2 linked regions of the Astyanax mexicanus genome follow. The protein of the gene in region 1 interacts with the protein of each later gene in a biochemical or structural test. Links are inferred from orthologs where the notes say so. Each region holds a gene or a part of one and is shown on either strand. Other genes may lie near its edges.

Region 1 (7,774 bases):
TCACTGTGCAGCAATGGATGAGCTTCTGATTTTACATCTACAGGGTAGCTATGTAGGAGTGCCTAATTGAGTGGACAGTGAGTAGACACAGTGTTTAAGCTGCTCTGTTTTGGTCCTGACCAGTTGAAATGCAGGGTAATAGGAGGATAATAAAGTAATAAATGCACAGGAACAGAAGGACTGTAGTCTGTAATTGTAGGGCTGTAATTGGTTTAAATAAAGTGATCGGTTGGTTGGTTGGTGGATATACTGTCACTGAAGGACAAACAATCTTGCATTTCTAAATTACTGGTTCACAGGAGATGAAACATTAAAGTTAGTAAATGTGAAATGATTTTATTGCAGATCATTTTTGGAGCATATGCAAATGCATTTATCTTCGGTAATTGGAGGTAATTGAGACTGAGACAGTTAATTAGGACAACAATTAATAAACTTTGTTCATATAAATTTACGTCAAACATAAGCCAGGGGCCCGTTTGACTTTTGTTTTACTCTCAATAGAAGACCAGGAGGTACTACCCCACAGTTTGTGGAAACCTGTTTGGTTTGAGTCTAATTATAGTCCTCAGTCCTGCAGCATAGTGGGAAAGAGGATACAGGCCTGTACGTAGCATTGCATCAGAGTCAGTGAGGGAGCTAAATATACTGCGGAGCTTAATCTTCTGTAGTTACTAGCGCACAGCTGTTAAGCCACTGTAGTGATAGACATGCGTGGTTCATACAAAACATTCTTGTGCTTAGCATTAAATGAGATCCTTACATAGCAGAGGATATTGGCACCCTACTGTGTAGCCTGACAAATCTGTGGCCTTCAGGGGTTTGAGCTTTATTTGTTTATACTGTTACTTTCTTAGCTTGTGTATTTTAAGGGAACAGCACATTTAAAGTGAAAGATGTTCTGACCTACCTCTAAGGCGGACAGGAAAATATATTTCCTCATCTTTCTATCTGAAGTGTAACCTTGCATTTAAATGGCTAAATTTGGACTGGGAATCCTACAAGCTCAAATATAATTCTGTTAAATGTTTTCTCGTACTCCCTAGCCTGCTTCTGTGTTTTCAAAAGAGAGTAGGCACCCATCCAACCTGGCCTTCTGCCACCATGTCTCAGCTCCACTTTTGTGTGTTGGAGAGGACAGGTGCAGTGGACTGCTATGCCCCCCTGATGACTGAGTACTGTTGTTTCTCATCATAGGGCCTTTCATTGCCAAGAGTGTAACCCTGCAAATGTGTTGCCGTTTCCATTCTCTGCAACAGACCCTACTGAAAATATACATTTGCTGTTGCTCAAGTGTATTTATAATGAATTGACACGTATGTATTATATTTGAATTATATATTATGTTTGGTATTTCTAGAGAAGTTTAGCAGGACGAAATACAGACAAACATCTAAAAGCTTTAAAAGGAAAATCAGATCAGATATTGGTCAGACAGTAGATAATATACATGCTGTATTTCCCATGATGTGTAGGTGTTTTGTTTGATGCTAAAAATAGCCCCCTTTGAGTTCTGTTTTGAGAACCATATCTGACTAATTTTAGGTGTTTGACATTTGATCTATTGAATCAAGAAGATTGTACAAATATGACTGTGTTGCAGTAAAAGGTGTGTTGTTAAGCACAAAAAAAAAAAAAAAAATTTTAGCATGATTGCGTTTTCACACTCTCTATACCAGCTGTGGTTGTTTGGTGATGCACACAGCGTTGTGCTTGCACTGAACAACAGGAGGATATACAGATACCCAGCTGAGCCCAAATATAGGAACAACACTGCCCTCAAATGGTTCTAAAATCATTTCCTCTACACGGGATAAGCCCAGTCCTAAGATTTTAACTGAGACTAAAAATACTTTACTGGACATTCCATGCAGTCTTAGACTTTAATCTGTGCTCAGAAAACTGCTATTAGGAGCTTTGGGAATTTAAATGTAAAAAAAGGTGACTTAACAATACTGGCCTAATATTAGGGATATACTGAAATGGAACATTTTTGACCAAAACCAAACAACAAGTCTGAATACAGAATATAAAGTGTTTTTTTATTATTAGTATTACCATTTTAACATAGATAAGTTCAGTTGTCAAATATTTGGTGCATTGTCATTTGTCATCTACTACATCTACATCTACATTAATTCATTATTTGTGGGTTTCAGATAAAAAAAGAAAATCTGGTTAAAATTCAGATTCAGACAAAAAAAAACATTAAAATGTGTTTAAAAGACATTTAAAAAAAATACATAACAGAATATTGTACAGGCAAGAAAACAATTATTTGAAATAAAAGTACTATGTAAAAGGGAATCATTTTTTATGAGAATGCAAAATGTGCTAAAGGCTTTGTGCCCTATTTACATACCTAATACTTAATATTTTATTAACTATTGTTTGTTACCATTATAAAAAAGTTAATGGTATGTTTGTTTTTAACTTGTGTTTTTTCTTTCTTCTCTTTTCAGTGAGCGAGATCATTGTCAGAGACTTGTTCCAGAGTCCAGATCCTGCAGGGGATTCTTATAGCTTGCCATAGCAGCACTGTTACTGAGTCAGATCCTCTGACATGATCAAGTTGTACTGTACATACTGTAATGTATTTTATCTGCCTTATACTTTTAAAAGGGCTTCATAAAGAAAACTTATCATACATTTTGTATTTGCAATAATCAAATGTGTTTATAAGCAGTTGCTGCATAGTATGGGTTCGAGCTTTACTAGGATTGCTAGGTACTATCTTTTGAATTGTTCTTTGAACTGGACTTATGAAATGTGAATGTTCAAGCTGAGACCTGAGACTAGATGTGCCTTTTGCTGAGGTGCCTTGAATGTGACATTCAGTTTAAAATCAACTCTTCACAAAATGTTGACTGTGAAGGGTGTTTATGACTCTATGCAATATTGTTTTTATGAATCTAAATATTTTGGGGTGGCTGTATAGGACATTTTACACTATTACAGTGTAACCTAGGTGTGATAGTTGAAGCTGCCACTGGAACTGTAGTTTGTAATTGTGTAATTTGGCATGATTGATTTGTGATTTGCTGAGAACACACTGATTTGTAACATTTTCTGTTAGACGACTTGTTACGTGACAGACACTTTTTATCTGAAACTTTTTCAGATTCCATATTCTATTTATGAAATTGTATGGAACATTAAGGTATGTGACCTTTTCCTATGCACTGAAATTTTGCCTGTGTAGAAAGCTTTGGAATTAAATATTGTTTTTCAACTATATTAAACAAACACTTTCTCCTATTTCTTTTATCTCTATTTCAAGATAAAAGCCATGTTTATGACAAAGACACTTATAGAAGGCCTTAAACTACAGTAGCCTTAAGACTTTAAAAACTTTAGGTATTTTTTTATATTTGACCTCTTGTGTTTTCGAAGTCTGCTGTCCAGATTTGTTTGTTTATTTATTTGTTTGTTTATTGCTGCCAAAAACTCATTAACACATTAATATGGAAAACACTTTGGGTTGTTAATAAGACTAGTCATAGACTATATTTTTGTCATAGACTATATCTTACTCTAAAAGTCTCAAAGTCTTCTTCTTTTATGTATGTGCCAGTAAACTAAACCAATACACTAAAGTGTCACTATGCAGAGTGCATCCAAAACTGCATTCATTAGCATACAATGTCTTCCAAACATGTCTAATAGTAACAGAAGTCTTCATGAACAGAGATACAGAGTCTACAGTGTAAGGTTTAACTCACTGGTTTGCCACACAACAGTTATTGTTTGCTAAAAATATTTAAAAACAGTTTGCAAAAAAAAGTTTGTGGAGAGATTAAATCAAAAATAACTAATAAAAACAATGACAAGGCAAGTATAGAGGGAAATCTAAAGAAGTGGTTTTTAAACGTTGTGGATGGGGCTACTGCAGCCCCCGACCACACAAACATATTTTAAACTAAAATATGTTTTATACTTTAGCCACATTTAGCGTTGAGGACAGATTTGCACACTCTTGGTATTGTCTCAGTGTCTTCATGAGGTATTCACCTGCAATAGTTTTCTAAGCATCTTGTATTAGTTGCTTATGAACTAGTAGAATAGCTGTTTTATTCTATAAACTACAGACATTTCTCCCAAATTCCAAATAAAAATACTGTTATTTAGAGATTTTATTTGCAGAAAATGAGAAATGGCAGAAATAACAAAAAATATGCAGAGCTTTCAGACCTCAAATAATGCAAAGAAAACAAATTCATATTCATAAAGTTTTTAAGAGTTCAGAAATCAATATTTGGTGGCATCTTGGCATCTTGGCATGTTCTCCTCCACCAATCTTACACACTGCTTTTGGATAACTTTATGGCACTCCTGGTGCAAAAATCCAAGCAGTTTAGCTTGGTTTGATGGCTTGTGATCACCCATCTTCCTCTTGATTATATTCCAGAGGTTTTCAATTTGGTAAAGTCAAAGAAACCCATAATTTTTAAGTGGTGTATATGGCCAGGACTTATATCTCGTTCCCATGCCTTAATAGGTCGTGGCAACGCATTATTATTATTTTTTTTACTTCACCATAGGGGCTTGTAGGTTACCTTTCTACAGCTATACTGGGGAGAGTTCAGTAATGGATTGGTAGACTTTTTTTAGCACTCTGAAGTCGATAGTTTAACTAATGATTTTTTTTACACACTTCCCAGCAATTAAATGCTGTATAACTAGAACTACAACAATCCCCCATCAGCGCCTTCCGCAGCAATAGTACAGTGGCGGAGTGATACGCGCCATGTTCTCTTGTGTAAACAGCGGAAGAGGCTCGGGTTGCGTCAGCAGCGCCGGAAAAGCTGAGAGAGAGAGAAACTCCGAGAAACAACTGGAAGACTGGAGCAGACACACACAGAGACGAACACAGCGGACCCCGGGAGTCCTGTAGTTGTAACACAGCCTGCACTACAAGTTCTGTTCGGACATTTGTGGGCGAACTCGGCCTGAAATAGTCACTGACGGCATTTCCCCCTGACTGCCTGAGTTCGTATTAATCCGCTTAAGAATATTACTGACATTACTGAGAGGCGAGGCTTCAGCTGGAGCGGTGAGCTATAGCCCTGCTGGCTTTAGCCTGTTAGCTTCTCTAGCTAACTAACCTGTCTTGCTGGAGACCACAGGCACTGCCAGTGAAACTGTAGCTATTGTTAAAACATTTGCCCGCCCTGAGATCTGTAGTAATGGAATTTAAAACCGAGAAAAGCAGAAAAATGCATGTAACCTAGCGTTAAATAGTCTAGTCTAGCTAACGTTAGTCGTTTTCACTGGTGTCTTGTGTTGTTTACACGTAATGCTAAACCAACTAGCTTAGCTTAGCTAACAGACAACACGTAAGCTAACCTAGATTTTGATAGCTAGCTGTCAGGCTAAGCTAGCTAGGTTAGCTTTCCCAATTCTAAGTTCTAAGGACTTGTGACAGCACAGAAACGAATTTTCAACTTGCTAGCTAATTATTTAGCTAGCTAAGGTTACCTAGTGTCTAGGTAACCTATCTAACGTTAACTTACCTTACCTGTCTAACTTATATATCTATTTAACCTGGTAGCTATCCAGCTTCACAGGGTTCGTGCCGTGACCTGAATCCTAAATAAAGCTTGTTAAATAGCCAACTAGGCCTGCTAAATAACTTGGTTAACTAATTAACTATTTAGCTAAACTATATCTAACGTTATAGAAGACGGGAGCTCACAGTACTGCTCCCACCCCATTTCATCATCAGTGTAAACATTTCAGTGTAAACACAGAAAGCCTCTCTGTAGATCCCTCTCTTTATCTGAAGACGTGCACACTGGACAGTCTCGCCATGCCCCTGTTGTTTCTGGAGAGGTTCCCCTGGCCCAGCCTGCAGACCTACACTGCGCTTAGCACAGTCCTGCTCGCTGGTTCGATCCTCAGTGCCTACACCGCTGTAACCCAGATCCCAGAGCCCGCAGCTCCGGTAGCAGAGGACGCCCGGACCGAGCCCATCGAGGACAGTAAAGCTGATCAAGGAGAGGCCATTGAACATGTTGCCTCTAACGTGTTGCTGTATCTCATCGCCGACAACTTATTCGTCTGGGTAAGTGCTCTTACTAATGGTCCACTGTGACAGCAAACAGCGTCCTTATAGATTATTTAGCTTATTTTGTCCCTGTGTTTATGAAGATCAACGAGTAATCACCCCCCAAAGCAAACTGCACTGTCCTATCTCTTCAGGTGATGGTGAATACAGCATGCTGTGTCCTCATGCTAATCGCCAAGGTGATCCAGTGCATTGTTTTTGGTCCTCTGCGGGTCAGTGAGAAACAGGTGAGCGCAAAAGCTTGCATAGGGCTTGGCCCTGATTATTGAAGAAGCATTTTATTCAATGATGCACAAAATATTCTCAGACTGAAGTTATTCAGCCAAAAATAAAAAAAAAGCATATTAATATTAATGAATATTTTCACAATAAGACTACTGAACATTGCAGTTTTTGTAGTTGTTATTTGCCAGAATGTTTAACCTTTTGCTTTATGAAGCTTCCTCTTAGCTACACCTCTGTGTTCTAACAACAGAGTTTGGGGATTTTTTTGTTTTCTTATGAAACCCCTATGTCTCTGTGCTACCTCTATCCCAACAGCACTTGAAGGACAAGTTCTGGAACTTTATCTTCTATAAATTTATCTTCATCTTTGGAGTGCTGAATGTGCAAACAGTGGACGAGGTAGTGCTGTGGTGTTTGTGGTTTGCTGTACTTATCTTCCTTCATCTCATGGTTCAGCTCTGTAAAGATCGGTTTGAATATGTGAGTACTCCTATAAGCACTTAGAAAGAATTCTTGGTTGTTTTTGAATTTAACTAAGTATATAGCTCTTTTATCTACTGTTTCATGTGGAATTGTGAATTTAAAAGGAAATCACACTCAGATATTCATTCATTCTGTTTCCCCCCCCCCCCTAGCTGTCATTCTCCCCAACCACCCCCATGAGCAGTCATGTGCGAGTACTGGCCTTGCTAGTGTCCATGCTGTTGTGCTGTGGAGGCCTAGCTGCGCTCTGTGGCCTGGTCGGACATCTTCATGGCATGCATACTGTTGCATTTATGACAGCTGAGGTAGGGATTTTTCAGTTTCCGAGCTTCTCTGTAACACTAGAGAGGAAATTGATAGTTGTTTTATGAATGGAAAAACAGAATCCTTTTCTATTTTGCAGTGTTTACTTGTTACGGTGCGCACTGGACATGTTATTATAAGGTAAGCATTTTGTCAGTCCAGTATCAATTACGAGTGTACCGCCGTTTATGCTGTCACTTGCAGGCAAAGAAACCTGAGCTGTTAAGTGCTTCGAAAAATATATCACTGAGGTTTTGCTTGTACTGTTTTTTTAGGTACTCTATTCACCTGTGGGACCTGAATCATGAGGGGACTTGGGAGAGCAAAGGCTCTTATGTCTACTACACTGATTTCATTATGGAGCTTGCTCTTCTCTGTCTTGACCTGATGCATCATATTCACATGTTGGTGAGTGGCATGTGGTTATTGATTTGAAAGCAGCTTATTTTATGTAATGCTAAGCATTTAATTGAATCATTCTTGCAGTCCGATGAGTCTACCTTTTGGACTAGGACTACAGTGCAGCCACAGATCATTTAGATCAAGAGTATTATTAGGATAAAAAAAAATCTTCTTTAGAGCATGGTTGTATTTTATCTTTAATTTATTCTTTCAAATATGAGTAATTGCTTGCTCATTAGAACTGGATCTGAACCAGACTGCTCTTGACAGATTGCTACAACTTTAGCTCTGTGC
Region 2 (7,673 bases), on another chromosome or scaffold:
TAAAAAAATGCCATTACAGACAAAGAAAAGTTTCTTTCTAAAAGGAGAGCATTTCCAAAACAGAGCGTAAACATTTGTGTGCATGTGTTTTGTGACTGAGGGGCCACAAGGGGTGTTTAGTGCTTCTATGTGGCAGCTGGAACAACAGTAAAAACAGCCTGGCCCTCTGAACATATTTGGAGGATAGGTTTGTTGTCAGGACATGCCAAACTGTCTCAAAGTAGCTTCTTTGGGGCAGTTCATGCTGATGTTACAGGTCCTGTAGGACAGTTCACTAAGTTCATCTAAGTGTCACTGAACAGTTCTCCCAAACATCAAAGGTAAGAGGTCTAGTCATGCATGCTTAAAGGCCTTTGTTTAGTCTGATACATGTATGGCCTTTGTTGTTTGCAAGTTTTAAAGTAACGTCACAAAATCACACAAATAATTAAAAACGTGTAACTGTCTTGAAGAAACATAGCTTTAATAACATTCAGGTGCGTAACCTAACTGAAAACTTACAGATGCCAAAAACTCACCTGTCTGAAAATATCTTTGATATGCAGGTGGTCTGGAAGCAGCTTTCCGGAGTAGATAAGCCTCTGGTCTTTCTCAGGCTGGCAGGAAGAAAGTTAGAAATGTCAATACTAATGTTTAAAAATCCCCAAATATATAAAAGAGTTGTTTTACAGATGATGTTAAACTTTAGGTAATTAAAAGGAATCAAAAAACATGTAACATTATGTATGCAACATAAGCTGTATAACACAGATATTGTGAGTGGTGACAGAGTCACTGGATGTGCTAGGTTATAGTCTTGTTTCTCTGTATAAAGACCTGGTGGCACTTTACAATGTAGAAAAGTGTTTAGTGTTGTTTAGGTTTAGCCAGATAACATCAGCCCAGCTTTTAGGACTGACTAATAAATTCTCCTAATTGACAGGCTCTGCTTTGGGCTTGAGTTAACTGGCAAAACTGATCAATTCTATGTTGTGGAACATCCATCTATTTTTTTGTGTAATATTTCTTATACTTCTGTTTTTATTGCTTTATTTATTTTATAGAATATTTTAGTGCTTATAACACTGTTGCTCATTTTCTTTGGTGTGTTACCAACAAATGTTTTTTGCTTGTTTGTTGAGATTATTGTACTATTTCCCTGTTTATTGCAATTTCTTTAAAACCAATAAAACATTAAATAGAGAATGCTTAAGAATTTTGTAAATAATAATAAATAATGATATGATATTAAATAAAACATCAAATTTTCCAAGTTGACCATGTAACCTAGAAAATTAACTTTAGATTAGACATTAGGAATGTACAATATGAGTGACACTGTTGGAAATTTTGAAACTGTAGCCAAACTGAGAAAACCTGTTTTGGGAAATACCCACAGGAGACATATTAGCTAGCATTAAATAATGCTAAAATGCAGAGAAGTTAACAATACAGCATGAAGCAGCCTATCTAACGCTAGCTGTGGTGGCTAATTGGTTGACGGTCAGCTGACTGACAGGAACAGTGTGTGCGGAGAGCGAAGGAATGTGGTGTACAAAAACAGAGCTCTATCTGAAGCTACATTCGCTATTAGCTAACCAGCTAGTTTACACCGACTTTATGCTACACCAAACGATAAACCGCCCCAGTAGCTAATGTTAACAAATAACTAGCGTTAGCTACCTAACGTTATCAGCTTTATCAAACTTGTCAGTTTAGCTAGGTTTGTTAGCTAACAATGACATTGGCCGGTGTTCTGTCAGGTTGTGCTACCCTGTCAAACCGTGCTTCCTACCATAGTGTAACTTTAAAGGTAAGACGTGTAGCGTTAGGTAGGGTATTAGAATAGGCCAAATCACTGTATAAGGTAAAGTTAAAGTAATATTAGTTGATTAGAAACAATTTATGTATTTGTATATTTTTAATGCAATATACACTTTTGTAACAGTCAGGCATACAATGACATATCAAGTTCTTATTACCTTTTACTGCACCCAAGCAGTATTTTACATATTGTATTATGTAAAACAGCTATAGCTTACACAGCTAACAATGTCAACTTTAGCCGGTGTTCTGACAAGTTGTACTTTACCCTGTCAAATCGTGCTTCCTACTCTAGTGTATATTTACAGGTAAAAATGCAACAACAACAACAAAGCACCATAAAAAGCCCTATATTAGAAAAATGCTCCTGGCAGACGTGTAGCGTTAGGTAGCTAAGGAACTAAAATAGACCAAATCACTGTATCAGGTAAAGTTAAGGTCATATTAGGTAATTAAAAACAGTTTGTGTAACTTTTCATTTTACGTTATATTTGTTTACAATTATTTTTTTTAACTGCCGTATACACTTTTTGTAACACTCGAGTAAATATCATTAACAATATCATCAAAATCTCATGTATAATGGCCCCAAGAAAAACAACAGTATTTTCATGAAAACATTTAAAAAAAATTATGTCGGCGCATGCGCAGTACCGTTCGGAAGCACATATCGACGCGTAGCATAACTCGACAGAACACCGGTCAGCTTCTCGTTAGCTAGTGAGACCATAACACACCCAGGACTTACCGGTTTGGATGGATAAACTCTTGTCAGATGAGTTTTCAGATCCTTCACCGTCCAGTTAATATTTACACCCTCCACCAGCTGGTCGCCATGTATCTGATTGGGTGTTTTAACCACAAGAGATATCTCTCCTTTCTCCTGAACATTCAGGTCCTCCATTCTCTCTGTGTTCTCGTTCTTTCTCTCTTTCTTCTTCTGTCAACAGCTAAGCTATTTAGCTAGCTTGGCTAACCTCGTCAATAACGCTACGGTACCGTCTCCACAATGTTCGCAAAATAAGCCTAATAACCCCCCCAGCCTGGGTTTAAAGAGCAGCTCCGTGTGTATCCAGCTCCCTCGCTCTCCAGTACAGAGTAATAAAGCTGTCCCCCGCGGTTTCGGCTCTCACGGTGGAAGTTGATGGAGGTGAAATACTCGGGCGTGTTGTTTCCAAAACACAGTGTGGCCGCGCCTGATTGGCTAAGAGCCGCTCGCGCTTCGACGTGGAGCCTGTGAGACAGGCAGCGCAGTGCGCAGACTCGCTGCGAGATCCTGCTTAGATAATAAACTCCCCCGAGCCGCGTCACTTCGGTTAGCTACTCTGACCAGTATGATGAAATATCACCTTTATCTTAATGATTCATCGAATAAACCTTTAGAATATATTGTAAAATGTTATATTCTACTCGCAAAATATTTTATTCACAAGCAAAAATTTCAGACCCAAAACTGAGCTTTCCTACATATTTATTTAATTAATTTCCGGTCTTTTTAATTCACTTCTACAATCTTAGTAGCATCAATACAAAAAATAGAAAGTTCTTCTGTTATTATGACTTGTTTTATAATGCTGATCTATTTTTTGATTTATTGATAAGCCTTCCTCAATTAGTGTATTAATGTGTTAAGCCTGAATTATATGCCAGTGAAAAATATTCTTCCTGCAATTTACACAAAAGGAGTCTCTAATAGTCTAAAGTAAAATAAAAATAAAATCCAATTAAAATCCTATTAATATTTTAATAGCTTTTTTTAATGTCCATTTCATTGGATGCCTGTGTTTAACATTTTTATATTAGATTTGATATTGATCTTTTTACTTTACAAATCATCCATAAACAGTAATTGTAACATAATTTAAGTGTTCAGAATCACGTGAAATTAGAAACAAATAGCTCTTACTTGCTTTGTTGGCTCTAGTGCTGCCTTTGCTATGAGCATGTTGGATCCAAGAATAATGGATATTATACATATACATATAAAGGAAATAGTGAATTGATGAACAATGAATAGACCATTAGAAATGCTCTAAAATGACTTAATATGAAAAAAATGACAATGTAATTAAATATTTTTACATTTACTTCCATTAAAAAATATGATGATACAGCACAGAGTTTCTCCCTTAGATATATAGTAATATGGCCCTTTCTAAAAGTGATTTGAGTCTTTTGATAAATAATTACATTATTTAGCAAATATCAAATCAGTTTCCAAAACTATTCAAATCTTTTGATCAAATAGTTGAACATGGTTTGATAGACTCAAATCCTATTTTAAAATAGTTCAAATCAGTTTTTAAAAAAAATAGTTTAAAGAAAAAAGTGTTTCAAATCTTTTTTTTTTTTTTACAAAATTTAAATCTTTAATGTTGGTGATTCAAATTTCTGTTTAAAAGACCAGCATCTCTACAAGTCTTTTAGAATCTGATTTAAATACTTAACAAATGCCTTAAATGTTTTAAAAGGTGATTTGGATCTTTTGAACAATGATCCAAATATTTGAAAAAAATAATTTGAATTACTAAAACAATGTAAGAAGAGGAGGTAACAAGGTAGAAGTACAGAAAGCAGAAATAATCAGAAGGCTAATTGCTTAAATTTTTAATACACTTTAATATAACAAAATGCATTTGATGAATACATTACTGATTTTACTTTACTATGTTCACTGTTTATGGGCTGGACATTATTTGTTGCTGTACATTTTCTTATCCAAATTCCATTACTGGTCAGTTTATGGTTAAAATGCTGCTGTTGCGCAAGTAATTCATCTGATATAAAACTGACATCCTAGTGTGTGAGGAACCGGTGTACGTAGAAAATGTAAGTAAATGCTGGCAGTTTTACACATGCTAATGTAAATGCTGGATTGAAAGTGGGTCCACCACCTAAACATTTACAGTAAAGACCACCCCTATTGTCAAAAAACTGAGTTATAAAATTATATTACTAAACACAACAAAACCTTCAACTTCTCAGATAATATAACATATTCTAGAAATATTTTGCACAGAATTATAGGAATCAAATAAAATATTACATCACTTGGATCAGTCCTATAATGACTCAAACATTTTAGCAACAGTTCATTAGTTAAAAAAGACAAATTCAAGTGCTAGAGTGAGTACCATCTTATTTTACATTTTCTAGAACGGGGATTCATACCCTTTTTGTACTGTGCAACCCCTTTTTAGGGTTTAAAATCAGCATCCCTCTCCTCCAAGGGACTACGTCAGAATCCCCAGATTATGAACCATAGTTCTAGAGGGACCACCAGTCTCCTGTCCTGCACTTCACAGCTGCAGCTAATAAGATTTTGGCAGGTTGATCACTGGCAGTAGAAAGTGAGGACATTCTCCTGGTTCCCCCTGACCAGCAGGACTGGAGGTCGCAGGTCACGGCACACGGTCTCCAGCCAAGCCATGTAGAGTGCACTCGGGCAGGCTCCTCTCCGGCCTATGGGCATGGTCCTGCCAAGCAAAAAGCAAGGATCTCCTTCAGGTAATGAAGACATTAATAACAAAAAATGGATCCTTGCCTTATTAAGTCTTTTGGGCGCAAGTGTCTGTAGAGGCTACTTTTCACATACCAACAAATTCAGCAATCATTAAAAACTGTAGAAGCACTGGGACAGTAAAGCTGTAAAATTCTGATATAAACTTACACAATAATCAATGCAGCATCTCTCGAGTAGTCCTTTAGGACTTCGTTAAGGCGGATCTGTCTGAAAGACTGGAAAAACACACAGAAATGCATAGAAGCATTACAGAAATGCAACAAAATGTCATTATTATTATATTTGCAGTATTTGGATGGTTGTTTTTGTTGTCTTGGCTGACTAAGCAACTTAGATTTGTATCATACACTAATATAATAATAATTTTCATCATATTTCAAGGAAGCTAAAGAATGCTACATTGACTTGTGTGATATGTGTATATGGTCTCCTGAAATGAAAGCAGATTTATGCCAAAGTCATTTGTTCGTTCAGATGGACAAATCTAGCCAGATGCCGCAGGTTATGATCATTACCACACACTGTGCTGTTCATTGTGGGAGGTAATGGCACCTATAACATTTTGCTGTGACCTATGTTCCATACACATGACCCATGTCCCATCCATCTGGCACCTACACTCAAACTCAGATAATTCAGATTGCCTTGCCATGAGCAAGCTTGTGTTCAGTTCACAACACTAATAAAGACGTGGACAATCCCAAGCCGTCTCGTGTGTTCATGCTCGATCTACATACTGCATGTGTAACCCACTGTGTCACATGACCAAAAATCTAATATCTATCGTCTAATTTATTGACAAACTGCATTACTATCACCTTTATGTACTAAGAGCCCATATTGTCATTATATGAATATAGACCAATTTACCTTTTTATATATCTAAATCTTAAAACTTTTTTAAATGGTTACCTTTGCCAAATTCTTTTCAAAATCTTCATCAGACACTGTCCACGGACACTCACTGAAGGTCTGGGCACCTCTTTCTCCATTCTTTTGCATAGCATGTGCCCTGTATGGCCCTAACAGGTCTTCAAACTTCTTAACACTGTCAAAGTCGGGAGAAATTGTCACAATTAGCTGTTACACCATGTAAATGCATATTATGTAAAAAAAGCACAGTGTGGCACAAAAATGTAAGTGAGAAAAGGACTAATACTGTTCAGGCTGAGGTTTCTCGTTGATGTCAGGGAGGATTTGAATCTCATGGAATCCAAGGCGAAACTTGCTGATGAGAGCTGTTAGCCTATAGAGATGAAGAGATAAAGAGAGAGGATCAGAAGGTCTGAGGAAACCAAAAATTTAAAGTGGACAAACCTAAACACTGAGACAATCTGATTAATATTTGCATTTATGTTTTACAGCGTTGATGAATAATAAATAATACAACTTTACGTATTGCTATGTTATTTTATTTCTCTTCACAGTGATAAATGAATATACTCATCCAGATAAGTGTTTCATTTTTGCTTGACTTACTCTTGTTTCTGTTCCTCAGCATGTTGAATCTCTCCTCCCACAAACACTCTCACTTTACACCTGCCCCAGCGCTTCTTACGCTTCAGAAGGTACGGCAGCAGTAGCGTCAGGCCTGACAAAACACAGCATTAGCCAAAGTTGCATCAGTTTTAGACAGCAGTGGTTCTTGAACCTTTTAGACTATATGCCACCCATGAAAGCCCTTGCTTCTTTTTGCAATCTGATGATTGTTTCTGGTCAATGCATTATTACTACCTAGACATCTGTTTCATACTGGGTCTAATTAGTTAAGCATTAAATACAAACAAATGAAAATAGCTTCACCTCCATCATCAAACAGCCAATACACATCAATAGTCTTCTTTTCTTGCTTAGTCTGAAAGACGGTGCTGGGTTGAGTCATGGCTATAAGCGATTCAGGATCCACTGAAACAGAGACAGTTATGTACAATCTGCACAAATATGTACATATATCTTCACACAACAGTCATAGAAAAAAACATTTCACTTGCAGGCCTTATTTTTCTCTTTTTCTTATTTTTATCTCCTATGCATGACTAGACATTCTTTCACAATACAGTCTTCTACTTGGGTAAAATATTTCAACATAACATCTACCATCATCTACTATCACTTAGCTTTACTTTTAACCTGATCTATGCATACTTGATGTGCTGATGTTTCTGGCATCTAGTCCTGGTTCTGTAGCTGGATCAAACCCTGGGTTAACTGCATAAAAGAAAAAAATGCGTGGTTGGAACACAGGTTCTGTGAAACAGTTGCAAATTTAGAATTATATACATATATATATATATATATATATATATATATATATATATATATATATATATATATATATATATATATA

The links. The genes of interacting proteins can lie anywhere in the genome.
Region 2: of the proteins of amfra (region 1) and herpud1, one has a biochemical effect on the other in vitro, tested with the Homo sapiens proteins (6 studies listed by BioGRID and IntAct, with this or other methods). The link is inferred for Astyanax mexicanus from reciprocal best matches to the Homo sapiens genes AMFR and HERPUD1.

Annotation. Positions count from the first base shown.
Region 1 is NC_064409.1:59,157,506-59,165,279, reverse strand, and holds the start of amfra (autocrine motility factor receptor a), read left to right. Parts: upstream 1-4,759; 5' UTR 4,760-5,809; coding exon 5,810-6,064; intron 6,065-6,201; coding exon 6,202-6,294; intron 6,295-6,607; coding exon 6,608-6,772; intron 6,773-6,927; coding exon 6,928-7,080; intron 7,081-7,178; coding exon 7,179-7,219; intron 7,220-7,353; coding exon 7,354-7,486; intron 7,487-7,774. Other genes in the region: nfatc3b (nuclear factor of activated T-cells, cytoplasmic 3), read left to right, coding at 2,463-2,533. UniProt on the Homo sapiens protein: E3 ubiquitin-protein ligase that mediates the polyubiquitination of lysine and cysteine residues on target proteins, such as CD3D, CYP3A4, CFTR, INSIG1, SOAT2/ACAT2 and APOB for proteasomal degradation.
Region 2 is NC_064416.1:22,559,273-22,566,945, reverse strand, and holds the start of herpud1 (homocysteine-responsive endoplasmic reticulum-resident ubiquitin-like domain member 1 protein), read right to left. Parts: upstream 3,015-7,673; 5' UTR 2,708-3,014; coding exon 2,552-2,707; intron 597-2,551; coding exon 519-596; intron 1-518. Other genes in the region: slc12a3 (solute carrier family 12 member 3), read right to left, coding at 5,138-5,279, 5,474-5,541, 6,239-6,374, 6,486-6,572, 6,806-6,917, 7,130-7,231, 7,472-7,534. UniProt on the Homo sapiens protein: Component of the endoplasmic reticulum quality control (ERQC) system also called ER-associated degradation (ERAD) involved in ubiquitin-dependent degradation of misfolded endoplasmic reticulum proteins.